Lepisosteus oculatus: one gene and its partner. The protein of the gene in region 2 interacts with the protein of the main gene of each other region in a pairwise test. Links are inferred from orthologs where the notes say so. Each region holds a gene or a part of one and is shown on either strand. Other genes may lie near its edges.

The links.
Region 1: the proteins of jakmip2 (region 2) and CAP-Gly domain-containing linker protein 4 interact in binary tests that used the Homo sapiens proteins (3 or more experiments, as listed by UniProt). The two-hybrid records come from large-scale screens. The link is inferred for Lepisosteus oculatus from reciprocal best matches to the Homo sapiens genes JAKMIP2 and CLIP4.

Annotation. Positions count from the first base shown.
Region 1 is NC_090697.1:29,363,821-29,371,126, forward strand, and holds the start of CAP-Gly domain-containing linker protein 4, read right to left. Parts: upstream 3,056-7,306; 5' UTR 2,782-3,055; coding exon 2,733-2,781; intron 172-2,732; coding exon 25-171; intron 1-24.
Region 2 is NC_090706.1:26,812,311-26,819,211, reverse strand, and holds the start of jakmip2 (janus kinase and microtubule-interacting protein 2), read left to right. Parts: upstream 1-3,864; 5' UTR 3,865-3,998; intron 3,999-6,901.

The DNA of each region.
Region 1 (7,306 bases), on a different chromosome or scaffold from region 2:
GTTGGGCGTCAGTGTGCTACTCACCGCAGTCCGAGGGCATGGGTGCGGATGCCACCTGGTGAACAGTGGGCCTGTCTGTGCCAGGGGGCGAGCTGCTGAGTCTGTCCAGGGCAGAGTCTCCCTCCGACGACGGATCCCGGACATCTTCCCTTGTCATCTTCCTCACAGCACCTGAGAGGGACACGGGGACACTGAACCTCACTTGAGGACACTGTACCCACTGGGGGGGGACACTGGGACACGTTGGGGTATACACTATCCCACTGGGGACTCACTGAACCACACTGGGGGACACACAGACGCACTGGGACGCTCAGACAGGTTATATACCGTTACAGCTTTGGGTGACTTGAGAAGTCTCTCTCAGATTTTAGATAAGGTTTTAGACATTGGGAAGAGTAAACACATCTAACTCCAAAGGAGAGAGGATGTTTGCCGACGACTGGGGGTCCCTTGAGCAGAAACAATAGTAAAGGTGATCTTGGTATTCCTAGGCAAGTTGTGGATTAATGATCGCAAAGGAGCAGGGCAGAAAGACACAGTATCTGTTCACCTTAAGAGCACAGGAGGAGAGAGAAGAACAGGGGGAAGAGGAGAAACAAGGGGAGCAGAGAGAAGAGAGAGGAGCTGGAACTTGAGGCTTGCGCCAGGCGAGAGCCCCTACTTCATGATCATCCAAATCAAACCTGACTGGAGCGAAGTATTTGAACCCTGTTAGAACGTGCTATTCTGTATTTTTTAGGGAACTTGGGTTTCCTGGGTAAAAGATACCTCAGTTAGAAACATCTTTCCTGATAAGGGGGCATTTTATGGATATGGATATAGGCTCCTATTTATTTTGGGGCATCCACAGAGAGAGATAGGTTTAACCGCAGGTTGCTCTGTATTTAGTTAGAAGGCAGCTCATCTCTTGTGTGGCCTCGACAGGTGCTTAGTGCTTAGTAGCGGTCTGGGGTTTTCTGGGTGACCAGAATGTTTGGCCTCTGAAACGCCTTGTCTGTAAAGAATGTGTTTAAAGCAACATGTTCTGTTGTGTGTTGTGTCATTGTTTGAAAATATCTGTCCAGCCCCACCCGTAACAATAGAATGTAACTTGGCGTGTTGTATGTTTTGTGTCTCGTGTAGGTTATTGCAATAAATATTTGTTTAAACCAAGTGTCTCTGGATTATTACTCCTCGACAAAGCTGTGTCAGAGATGGAAGAATTCACGTGCCTCTGGTTGTACCGGCCGCTCGCATACAGAAATCACTTACAAGTCGGGGATTATAAATAATTATTTCACCGCTCGGTCAATTCCTGATTTTCACCAGTTTTGTAACAATATAAACATCGTAACGCGAGCGATGGTTTAAATCTTGGGGTGCAACGGGGCTCCTGACATCCATACTCCACACGCCAACAGCAGGGGGCGCACCTCCCATCTCAAAGCGAACACCAGCGTGGCTCGCAGTCACTGGACAACATCACCCCTAACTCAACACGGGACCCCTGACACAACACCCAGCCTTGAGCCCTGCGCTTCCCACAACTCCGAGGCAGTGCCAGCAGGCCAGGCCAGGCCAGGGCAGGGCAGCTCCCCTCTTGACATGAGAGCGACGTGATCATGACAGGGCTCCCGGGCAGCAGCAGCAGCAGTCCCGGCCCCCTCACTCAGGAGGGATGCGCCCTGTTCCTGCAGCACACGAAGCAGGACAAACTGGAGTCCTCGCAGAGCGACCGGCGGGACGCTCGGGGCCCCACGCCAGGAGGGGACGACCGGGGGGAACACAGTCCAGGTCATGCCAGTACAGCTCTCTGAGCCCGAGAGAAGGAATGAGAGAGCGAGGGAGAGGAAGTTTAACACAGGGCTCCGCTTCTCTATCGTTCCGGTTATGTCAATATTAGCTGACGGATCAGCAGACAGAGCTGTCTTGATCCCAGAGTCCCGCCGCTCCTCCTGTTCTTCCACAGTCTGCGAACAGCTGCGCGGTCACCTGGCCTGCGAGAGGGGAGGGTGCAGGAGAAGGACGAGAGAGAGGAGGAGGAGGGGGGGGGAGGACAGCCCCCATCGTAAAGCACTTCACTGTCAGAGACCAGCACAAAGATACACAAATCCTGCAGCACACACACTCCACAGACGCAGATATATTTTATTTTACTTCTATTTTTTGTCTTGTTCCATGTTAATTTTATTTTATTTGCTTTGGCAACACTGATTGTACCCATTGGTCATGCTAATAAAGCACCTTGAATTGAATTGAATATATTACAGTCACCGGCCCGCGACCGGCAGGGCAGGACGCTCAGGGCTTAAGACGGGCAGAGCGCCCCCAGAGTCGGGCCCCCCTCAGCGCAATAACCGCACAGTGCTTATTTACCTGGCGGGGCAAGGCCAGCCACCAGGCGAAACGGGGTTTTGTGAGCAGACCAATCTGGGCACCTCCCAGCACCCCGGATCCCCCAGAGCACTGTGGGGAACTTCGGGAGCCTCAGGAGGCCTTGGTCTCCGTCTGACACGAGCAGGGCTCGACACACACCTCTGCCAGGCTGCCCCGGGAGCAACACCACAGCGAGGCGCCGACAGCTATCCCACAATGACACGGGTAAAGCACCGCCCAGAGAAGAGAGCGTCCCGGCAGCAGAGAGCAGACAACAGCACCGGGCAGGACGAGCGGGTCAGAGAGAGGACAGGGGGAGGAGGCAGGGTGAGGGGCAACAGACACAGGCAGAGACAAGCGGGAGTCTCACTCACGGTCACCGTCGCCCGGGGAGAGTTCAGGAGTGGCCGCTGGGTCCCCCATGCCAAGTGACCAGAACAGGGAGAGGCGGAAAACGGGACAGCACCTCCTCTCTCTCCTGCTCCACTGTGATCCCCAGCCAGCGGGCTGGCTATTTACAGCTCAGGCAGCCTGCGCCGGCCGTCCCACTCCCTCGTCACATTCTCCTGTCAATCTACACGTCTGTGCACCACAGCACACGCACAGGCCTGGCCACAGACGCAGAGCACTGGCACTGAGCCCCTGAGGCGGGGGGCACGCTCGCTGCTCGTACAGGGGGGGCAGTGTCCGGACTGTAGTGTGCAAGACACTAGCTCCTGCCATCTCTAGCAAAAGGTCAGGCATGTGAGCCGAGCTAAAAATACACTCATTTTACAGTGCCCAGGACACAGGCACCACTCTCCACACACACTGGAGATCAATAGACAGGCGGCACAGTGCCCAGGACACAGGCACCACTCTCTACACACACTGGAGATCAATATACAGGCGGCACAGTGCCCAGGACACAGGCACCACTCTCTACACACACTGGAGATCAATATACAGGCGGCACAGTGCCCCGGACACAGGCACCACTCCTTACACACACAGGAGATCGATATACAGGAGGCACAGTGCCCAGGACACAGGCACCACTCCTTACACACACAGGAGATCGATATACAGGAGGCACAGTGCCCAGGACACAGGCACCACTCTCTACACACACAGGAGATCAATATACAGGCAGCACAGTGCCCAGGACACAGGCACCACTCCTTACACACACAGGAGATCGATATACAGGAGGCACAGTGCCCAGGACACAGGCACCACTCTCTACACACACACAGGAGATCAATATACAGGCGGCACAGTGCCCAGGACACAGGCACCACTCTCTACACACACTGGAGATCAATATACAGGCGGCACAGTGCCCAGGACACAGGCACCACTCCTTACACACACAGGAGATCAATAGACAGGCGGCACAGTGCCCAGGACACAGGCACCACTCTCTACACACACAGGAGATCAATAGACAGGCGGCACAGTGCCCAGGACACAGGCACCACTCTCTACACACACAGGAGATCAATAGACAGGCGGCACAGTGCCCAGGACACAGGCACCACTCTCTACACACACTGGAGATCAATAGACAGGCGGCACAGTGCCCAGGACACAGGCACCACTCTCTACACACACTGGAGATCAATATACAGGCGGCACAGTGCCCAGGACACAGGCACCACTCCTTACACACACAGGAGATCAATATACAGGCGGCACAGTGCCCAGGACACAGGCACCACTCCTTACACACACAGGAGATCAATATACAGGCGGCACAGTGCCCAGGACACAGGCACCACTCTCTACACACACTGGAGATCAATATACAGGAAGCACAGTGCCCAGGACACAGGCACCACTCCTTACACACACAGGAGATCAATATACAGGCGGCACAGTCCCCAGGACACAGGCACCACTCCTTACACACACAGGAGATCAATATACAGGCGGCACAGTCCCCAGGACACAGGCACCACTCCTTACACACACAGGAGATCAATATACAGGCAGCACAGTCCCCAGGACACAGGCACCACTCTCTACACACACTGGAGATCAATATACAGGCGGCACAGTGCCCAGGACACAGGCACCACTCTCTACACACACAGGAGATCAATAGACAGGCGGCACAGTGCCCAGGACACAGGCACCACTCTCTACACACACTGGAGATCAATAGACAGGCGGCACAGTGCCCAGGACACAGGCACCACTCTCTACACACACTGGAGATCAATATACAGGCGGCACAGTGCCCAGGACACAGGCACCACTCCTTACACACACAGGAGATCAATATACAGGCGGCACAGTGCCCAGGACACAGGCACCACTCCTTACACACACAGGAGATCAATATACAGGCGGCACAGTGCCCAGGACACAGGCACCACTCTCTACACACACTGGAGATCAATATACAGGAAGCACAGTGCCCAGGACACAGGCACCACTCCTTACACACACAGGAGATCAATATACAGGCGGCACAGTCCCCAGGACACAGGCACCACTCCTTACACACACAGGAGATCAATATACAGGCGGCACAGTCCCCAGGACACAGGCACCACTCCTTACACACACAGGAGATCAATATACAGGCAGCACAGTCCCCAGGACACAGGCACCACTCTCTACACACACTGGAGATCAATATACAGGCGGCACAGTGCCCAGGACACAGGCACCACTCTCTACACACACAGGAGATCAATATACAGGAGGCACAGTGCCCAGGACACAGGCACCACTCTCTACACACACAGGAGATCAATATACAGGAGGCACAGTGCCCAGGACACAGGCACCACTCTCTACACACACAGGAGATCAATATACAGGAGGCACAGTGCCCAGGACACAGGCTATAAGCAGGAACATCTCACCTGTGCTGTGACTGGTAGCTCAGGGCCGTACAGGACCTCTCCTTACAGGCCACAGTTTTCCATCATCTAAGCTCTTAACCACATAACATCATCGTTCTCCTTTACTACAGCACACGATCTTCAGAAAGCAAACAGGAAAATCCAAACCCACAATACACAACAACAAACAGATTCAAAACCAGTCAGACAGGATCGCTGTCACCAGCACAATGAACAATTACAATGAAAGCCCAGCCCTGGGGGCACTTCTGGAGGAACCCCAACACCTCCATACCCAGCCCGGACCGGACCGGACCCTCAACCCCTCCCCCTGCCTGACCCGAGACTGACAGAGACGAGCACATCCGCTCAAGTCCTCCTGTCCGCGACACAGGCCCCGTGCCAAACACATGGAGTAATTCAGGCAGAGCGCCAGAGTGAGCGACGTGCCCGGCTCCTGGTGAGAACGCCCCAGCCACACGCCTGTGCTCCACACCGGGGACAGCTTACTTTTCTTGTGAAGGTGCCTCAGCATCGCGTGACCCTGCGGCAGGAGAGCCCTTCACAGCCGCCTGATCTCCTCCACAGCCACACGCCAAGGATAAAACAGGACGCCCATCAGGACAGTCAGGTTTACTTTGTAACCAAATCGAGTGCTGTCTGCAACACTGGAACAGTCCAGCTGCGCAGAGCCTCGTGCAGGAGAATAGCAGCTCAGAGACACCCTGTCAGAGCAGTCCAGCTGCGCAGAGCCTCGTGCAGGAGAATAGCAGCTCAGAGACACTGTCAGAGCAGTCCAGCTGCGCAGAGCCTCGTGCAGGAGAACAGCAGCTCAGAGACACCCTGTCAGAGCAGTCCAGCTGCGCAGAGCCTCGTGCAGGAGAACGGCAGCTCAGAGAGAGACTGTCAGAGCAGGCCAGCTGCGCAGAGCCTCGTGCAGGAGAACAGCAGCTCAGAGACACACTGCCAGAGCAGTCCAGCTGCGCAGAGCCTCGTGCAGGAGAACAGCAGCTCAGAGACACACTGCCAGAGCAGTCCAGCTGCGCAGAGCCTCGTGCAGGAGAACAGCAGCTCAGAGAGACTGTCAGAGCAGTCCAGCTGCGCAGAGCCTCGTGCAGGAGAACAGCAGCTCAGCGACACACTGTCAGTGCAGTCCAGCTGCGCAGAACCTCGTGCAGGAGACCAGCAGCTCAGAGACACTGCCAGAGCAGTCGAGCTGCGCAGAGCCTCGTGCAGGAGAACAGCAGCTCAGAGACACACTGCCAGAGCAGTCCAGCTGCGCAGAGCCTCGTGCAGGAAAACAGCAGCTCAGAGAGACACTGCCAGAGCAGTCCAGCTGCGCAGAGCCTCGTGCAGGAGAACAGCAGCTCAGAGACACACTGTAAGAGCAGTCCAGCTGCGCAGAGCCTCGTGCAGGAGAACAGCAGCTCAGAGAGACTGTCAGAGCAGTCCAGCTGCGCAGAGCCTCGTGCAGGAAAACAGCAGCTCAGCGACACACTGTCAGTGCAGTCCAGCTGCGCAGAACCTCGTGCAGGAGACCAGCAGCTCAGAGACACTGCCAGAGCAGTCGAGCTGCGCAGAGCCTCGTGCAGGAGAACAGCAGCTCAGAGACACTGCCAGAGCAGTCGAGCTGCGCAGAGCCTCGTGCAGGAGAACAGCAGCTCAGAGACACTGCCTGCTCCCGAGAGAGAGACAGAGGGACACACATGCAAACAAGCAGCAACTCTGGGGACACAAAAATCCACACACACTTGGACACACCCAGGGACACAAATGCACTAGTACACACCCAGAACACACACGAATGTGACCGTCGGCACACATGGGCAGCCAAATAAAGAAACCCACACACACAGATCGACAAATAAACACAAGGACACAGACTCACAGACACAGAGCGACACACTAACTCAGGCATACACGCAGACACACAGGGAGAGTATCTCACAACAGCTGTGCCCTGCGAGAGATCGGGCCGGTCCAGTCACAAACCAATCACCCCCTCTGCACAAGACTGGCATTAAGATTATTTTCAATTATGCATTTTTATGATGCATTTCAACCTTTGTTAAATATATTTTGTTCTTCTTACGTGTACATGTATTTCCCGACAA
Region 2 (6,901 bases):
AGGCAGGAGAGCAGAAAAAGACCCATATGCGTAGCGGCGGAACGGGGGATTAGCCCGGGCTCAGCAGTTCAGGAGTGGTATAGAAACCAATGCCCTCAGGCAGCGGACGTAGGGCGACCTGAATGCTAGGCGGGTCTCAGGACATCCGAATGTCAATGCTGAGCAAAGGTGAATGAGTGACCCCCAGAGAGAGAGACACCAGAAGGACAGCAAAGCACAGAAAACTAGGGACAGGATATAGGAGCGCCCTCTGGCTGCAGAGGGCGTGACATACCCCCACCTTCATGGGTGGCTCCTGACGCCCATACAAATAAATGAGCCAGGAGTCCACGGCTGAGAGCTGCCCCCTCCTCCATGGTATAAACCTTTATTGGGTAGAGGAAGGGGGCTCAGGTAGGGCTCCGGAGACTTAAAACAAAAAAGACAATTACACAAGCACAAACCACAACACAGATAAACCTGGGAGACCAGGGAAACAAACCACAAAAACAGATAGGAACCAAAACTTCCAAGACACACAGGACAGGGGGACCAGAGAGAAGGGGAAACCAGGAAGTGAAAAATCAAAATACCAAGCAAGAAACAATAATAAAAACACAAAAACCCGGGAAAAATACCACAGACTGGGCAATAGGCACATTCCCATTCTATCAATGATATCGGAGTGGACAACCCGAAGAAAGCCAGGCACACGGCCCGCTAACAGGCACGGATGACTAGAGTGATATCCAGCAATAAGAATAGAGGAATGGCAAAAAAGGCTCACCAGACTAATGCCAATATCGGCAGAAGACAACTCAAGGAAAGCCAGGCCACAGCCCGCTCACAGGCACGGATGTCAGGAAGGTGATATCCAGCAATTAGAATGGGAGAGGAAAAAAGGCTCACCACCCTATCGCTGATATCGTTGTGGACAACCCGTGGAAAGCCAGGCACACGGCCCGCTCACAGGCATTGATGACTGGAGTGATATCCAGCAATAATAATAATAATTGCTTACACTTATATAGCGCTTTTTCTGGACACTCCACTCAAAGCGCTTTACAGGTAATGGGGACTCCCCTCCACCACCATCAATGTGCAGCATCCACCTGGATGATGCGACAGCACCCATAGTGCGCCAGAACGCTCACCACACATCAGCTATCAGTGGGGAGGAGAGCAGAGTAATGAAGCCAATTCACAGAGGGGGATTGTTAGGAGGCCATGATTGATAAAGGCCGATGGGGAAATCTGGCCAGGATGCCGGGGTTACACCCCTACTCTTTTCGAGAAACACCCTGGGATTTTTAATGACCACAGAGAGTCAGGACCTCGGTTTTACGTCTCATCCGAAGGACGGCGCCTGTTTACAGTATAGTGTCCCCATCACTACACTGGGGCATTAGGACCCACATGAGCCGCAGGGTGAGCGCCCCCTGCTGGTCCCACTAACGCCTCTTCCAGCAGCAACCTTAGTTTTTCCCAGGAGGTCTCCCATCCAGGTACTCACACCTGCTTAGCTTCAGTGGGTTGCCAGTTGTGAGTTGCAGGGTGATATGGCTGCTGGCATATGAGGATAGGAGGGCCAGCTCAACATTCCATCACGGATGCCGGAATGACAACCCGAGGAAAGCCAGGCCACAGCCCGCTCACAGGCACAGGAGTCGGAAAAAGCATCCCGTGACTAGAATAGGAGAGCTGAGAGGAAAAATATGCAAGAGAAATAAAAGCGCCACTTGTGGGGTAAGTAGGAGGCTCAGCACTCTGTTACGGATGTCGGAAGGGACGAACCGTGGAGAGGCAGGAGAGCAGAAAAAGACCCATATGCTCAGCAGTTCAGGAGTCATATAGAAACCAATGCCCTCAGGCCATGGACTGGAGCGACCTGGTGCTAGGCGAGTCTCAGGACATCTGAACCCCAATGCTGAGCGAGGAGCAAGGCAGAAGAGCGCCCTCTAGGTGTACTGGGCGTGACACTGTCAAAAGGCTGAAGCTGAACCTTAAGTGGACGTTGCAACAAGACAATGACCCAAAACACTCAAGCAAATCCACAAAGGAATGGCTCAAAAAGAAGAAAGGGAGGGTTATGGAATGGCCAGGTCAAAGCCCAGATCTTAACCCCATAGAAATGCTGTGAAGGGACTTGAAGCGGGCAGTACATGCAAGAAAGTCCTCAAACATCACACAGTTAAAGGAGTTTATAAGGAGGAGTGGGCAAAAATGTCTCCAAGTCGATGTAGGAGACTGATAGACAATTACAAGAAATACCTACAAGAAGTGATTTCTTCCAAAGGGGGCAACACCAGCTATTGAAGCTAGGGGGTGTACTTATTTTTTCCCACAGCAGACAATTGCATTTCTGACTTTTTTTCTGTTGAATAAATGATTGAAAATATTCATATTCATTGTTATTTGTTATATTAGATCACCTTTATCTATCAGTATTGTTGAAATGAAGATCAAATATCCATACATGCAAATATTTGAAAATCACACATTTTCATGGGGCATACTTACTTTTTCACAGCACTGTAACCTCTGGGTGCTCTGGTTTCCTCCCACAGCCCAACAACATACAGTTATGTTAATTGGTTTCTGGGAAAAATTGGCCCTAGGTGTGAGTGTGTCTATATCTGTGTTTGTGTCTGTGTGTGCCCCACAATGGACAGGCGCCCCATCCAGGGTGTATCTTGCCTTGCATCCCTTGCTTGCCAGGATAGGGTCTAGCTCCCCTGTAAATCTGAATTGGAAGAAGCGTTTAGAAAATGGATGGATAACATTAGAACACAAGCGATTTCATAAAACTTTAAAGTAAGCATATCCTTAAAAAGAGCGCTGGAAGGGACTGTGGGCCCTGTACAGGGACTTAGGAGGAAATCCCTGCTCCTTGAGCTCCTGCAGAGGACTGGACAACCGCAGTTTCAGAGCAGGACAAGGACAACTGCAAGTGGTAGAGTTTGGAGGGCCTCTTTCACTGTGCGAATCCAGCCCCAGCATCCACTTGCTGTGATTGATAAAGGACAAACACCCTTTTTAAGAACTTTTGTATTATATTAGAATTGGATAGAGTAAGAGCGCCCTCTGGCCGCAGAGGGCGTGACACCACCTCAGACTCTCCCTGTCTGACTGGCTGACCGCTACAATATTTTAACAGCTACAATATTTACGATTTGATTTTTGCTTGTACAAAACCTGGCACTGTCACCAGATAAATACTGGTGATCTTAAAATCAAAACAGCCTAAAGAGAGACCGATAAACCACTCGGATTACTATGGAAACCTTCGTTGTTGAGATGTTAGAAAGGAACAGTGCGCCGCAGGAGAGAAGGAGCCGGTTCCTCAGTTACTGGTGCCCTGGCTTGTGTTTTACTGTATGTGCGGTACTCCCACTCCCAGGCGCTGCTCCACCTTCACCACCCCCGTTGGCGCTCTGTGTCCACCTCACTGTGCTTTACCTTTTTGCTTCACAATGCTTAAATGTTAATAAGGCTAGTTTGAAAAAATCTCTTAATATGTTCATTTATTTAAAAGAAAACGGCGAAATAAATACTTAAGTGTCGACAGTGCTGTGACTGAAACGTTTAACCAGGAGCTGTAAAAGGGATTCTCCTCTACATACTGTGTATTGTACAGTACTATGAGCTACAAAGTCGTGCGGCTTAATATTATTTCCGATCGTACCTTCTGTGAGCGTCTGCTCGTTTCCCGTTGTGCGGTCTGTGACAGTGGTGTGGACTCCACGAGAGGGGAAAGTGAAAAGAGTGGAGAAAGTAAAACGGATAAAAAAAAAACAAGAAGAGGGATAAAAAAGGAGACTGCAGTTTTCTTGGCAAATTCAATGAGCTCATTCTGACAGACAGGAGGAGGGCGGAGTTTTTTTTACAGCATCATCGTCCTCATCGCGCTGTGGTACAGCTGCTGCTGATGATGTGCAGGGGGAAAGGAGAAAAATCAAAGCCATGGGTAGAGCTTTAAGGATTCTAGGCCTTAATTCATTCTGGAGGTTAATAAAACGGTAAGAATTGTATCGTTTTCTAGTTATTTGTTTACACCCGCATCTGACGGTTTGAATCAGCGTTACATCAGTTCAGAATTAAAACAGGGATGTGATGCTCTGTACAGTGGAAATGGAGAGGTATTTACAGCCGGCGTCGTGTCATAATAGGATAGAGGATTTTTTTCCCACCCGATTCATTTGTGTTGTCATGTATTAGCGAGTAACGGTAATCTTTTGTTTTGTTTTTCCTAATTCCGGGCACTGGTGCTTTGTTTTTCGTTTCATGCACTAAGAAAGAATACAGTATTCGATCGTCATGACACAGACGTGTGTTTGGTTTAAGCGTTCATGTGGCTAGGCTTGGCCTGTGCAGTAGGCTGAGATCAGCCTTTGGGTAACGACAAGTGCATCTTTGGTAGTCATTTCTGATGCTGGTTTTAAAGTGAAATAGTACTACACAGGCCATTTAAAAGTGGGAACAGTATTTATTATTAAATAGTGAGTTCCACATGCTCTTAGGGTAGGCAGCTACCTAATTTAATTTGAATTGTCGAGTACCGGTATTTCATTGTTTATGTTTGAGGCTTTCCTCCCAGTTGTGCAAAGGTACTGTAATAGGGGTTGATGAAGCGAATATATGGAGTCAATTCTTCCATCCTCCTAATTACAGTGGGGCTTCTCTTGTGCCAATTTATGCAACCATATATATTTCACTAAGAATTGTGATAAGGCTCATTTATTTAGGCACATTGTCGGTAACAATTCAGTAGACTGGAGATATAAAGTTTCAGTAAATGTCACCTATTCTACAATGGCTGTGTGCAGTTTGTTTGGATGCTTTACTTTCTTCTCCAGTCCAGATTTATGTCGATTCTGACTTTTGCGATCTATTTGTTAGATACTATTGTTAGGATCATTCTAAAATTTGATATACAGTATGAAAGCAAATGGAAATAGAGGACATTCAAGCAAATGGTATTGTAATATAAGACATGGTAGAAACTATGAAGTGTTTAGTGTTATGGTATTTCTAGTGTAATTTTAGAACAGGCCATTAAAGTCGCCCCATTTTTATTTACTTTGGTGCAGATTCATGATCTTTTTCCCTGACACACTTTGTGTTGAATTCTCCAAAAGCAGTTGCTTCTTTCTTAGCTAAGTAATAACTTTAACTTTGCTATTTGTTAATTTTACATTCAACAGCAGTATACCATGCAAATACACATCATATGGATGCCAGTGTTAGAAATATAAAGATGGAAGTTTGTCTTTAACCAATAATAAAAAAAAATGTGAGTTTCAGGTGTCAGTTCATCTGTGGTCAGCCACACTGGCTCTGTGAGACCATCTTGATATCCTGCTGTCACATTTGCTGTCATTTACTTTATTGTATGTGCTTCAGTTTCTTTTATATTCATGTTAATATTGCCCTATATTCCTTACCTTTGAGAAACCAGTCCAGCTTCACACAGCTGTTTGTTCCTTTTTAGAATCCACGCTGTGTGTTAGATGACCAGGCTTGGGCATGCCTGGTGCTTGAGGGCCAGTGTGTCTGCAAGCTTTATAGGTCTCTTCACAACACCAACACATGAAGAGCTGACAGAAACTGTTCCCATTAAGCCAACAATGAGCTGATATACAGTAGGTTATGATCTGAAATGCAGACTTTAAAACTTACTGGCCTCCCAAGATTAGGTTCACCCATCCCTCAGCAGCTATAGTGGAGAGCCAAGCTGAGAGAGTGAAACTCATTTCTTTTGCTACTCCATTTGGATATGAAGGAGAACCTTAAGTGACATGCTTCACTCTGGCCACAGTGTTAGGAACCCTCATGAGTACACTATTTCAGCTGAAGGTTTTAGGAGCACAAGACAAAATGCCCTCACCTTCCCCGATAAGAACAATCCCTGGCTCTTAATCTACTTGTAACTGAAGTGACAACACAACTGGAAATCACATGGAAGTATACATAAAACTGCAAACAGAACTTTTATACCCAAAGGGTTTTAGGAGTGTGGAAAAATCTACCCAGCCATGCTGTCAAAGCCAGTATTCCTGGCTTGTTTTAAGAAATAACTGGAAGAGATCCGAAGTGCCAAATGAGTTAGATGGGACGAATGGCCACCTCCTCTCAAGCACACATGACAATCTAATGTTTGTTTTTAAGTTATGTTTTTAAGTTATTTTATGTCATTAGATGAGGGAGAAAATAAATTTCAGTCCCACACAGAATGATCACCATCAGCTGAGGTTGTGATGCTGGACAAGTGGCATGGGATTGGACTGCCAATATCTGTAAACCAAGAGGGATATATGTCTCGTTCTGATGCTATTGCTCTTGCAGTACAATATATTGTATCGTGGTGGAAGATTCTAATACTTTTGCCAGAAGGTGTATTAGAATGAATAATTTGTAGGCATAATAGATGGCAAAATGGTGTCAACATTATTTTTTAGAGTAAAAATTTGTTGAATCTACTTATTCATTTGCCTTTTAGTTTTATTGTATGTGCATTTCATTTACTGTGCATTGAGTAAACAGATAGAATAAGCTTCGTACTCATAGTCTAATTAATCCACTGTGTATATGGCTGTGAATGTGTTACCAGTACATAAATCTAGTAGTAATAGTTGAAGCACTCAAAGCTACTCATGACAAAAGAATATTAAATAAATTAGGTACAGCATTACCTAGCAAAGGCCACACTCTGATCTTATCCAGTCTAGGAGACACAGTGCCATATAAAACCACCCACTCACTCTAAAGCCGAATATTAATCATCTTGCAGCAGTCACAGTAACATTTTAAGGAGCGTAATGAGAATTACAGAATTCATATTGCTCAACGCATCATGGTTTTAGTTTAAAATGATGGAGCCAAATTTTAGTAATGACAGGAGTAAATCTATCAATAAAGCACT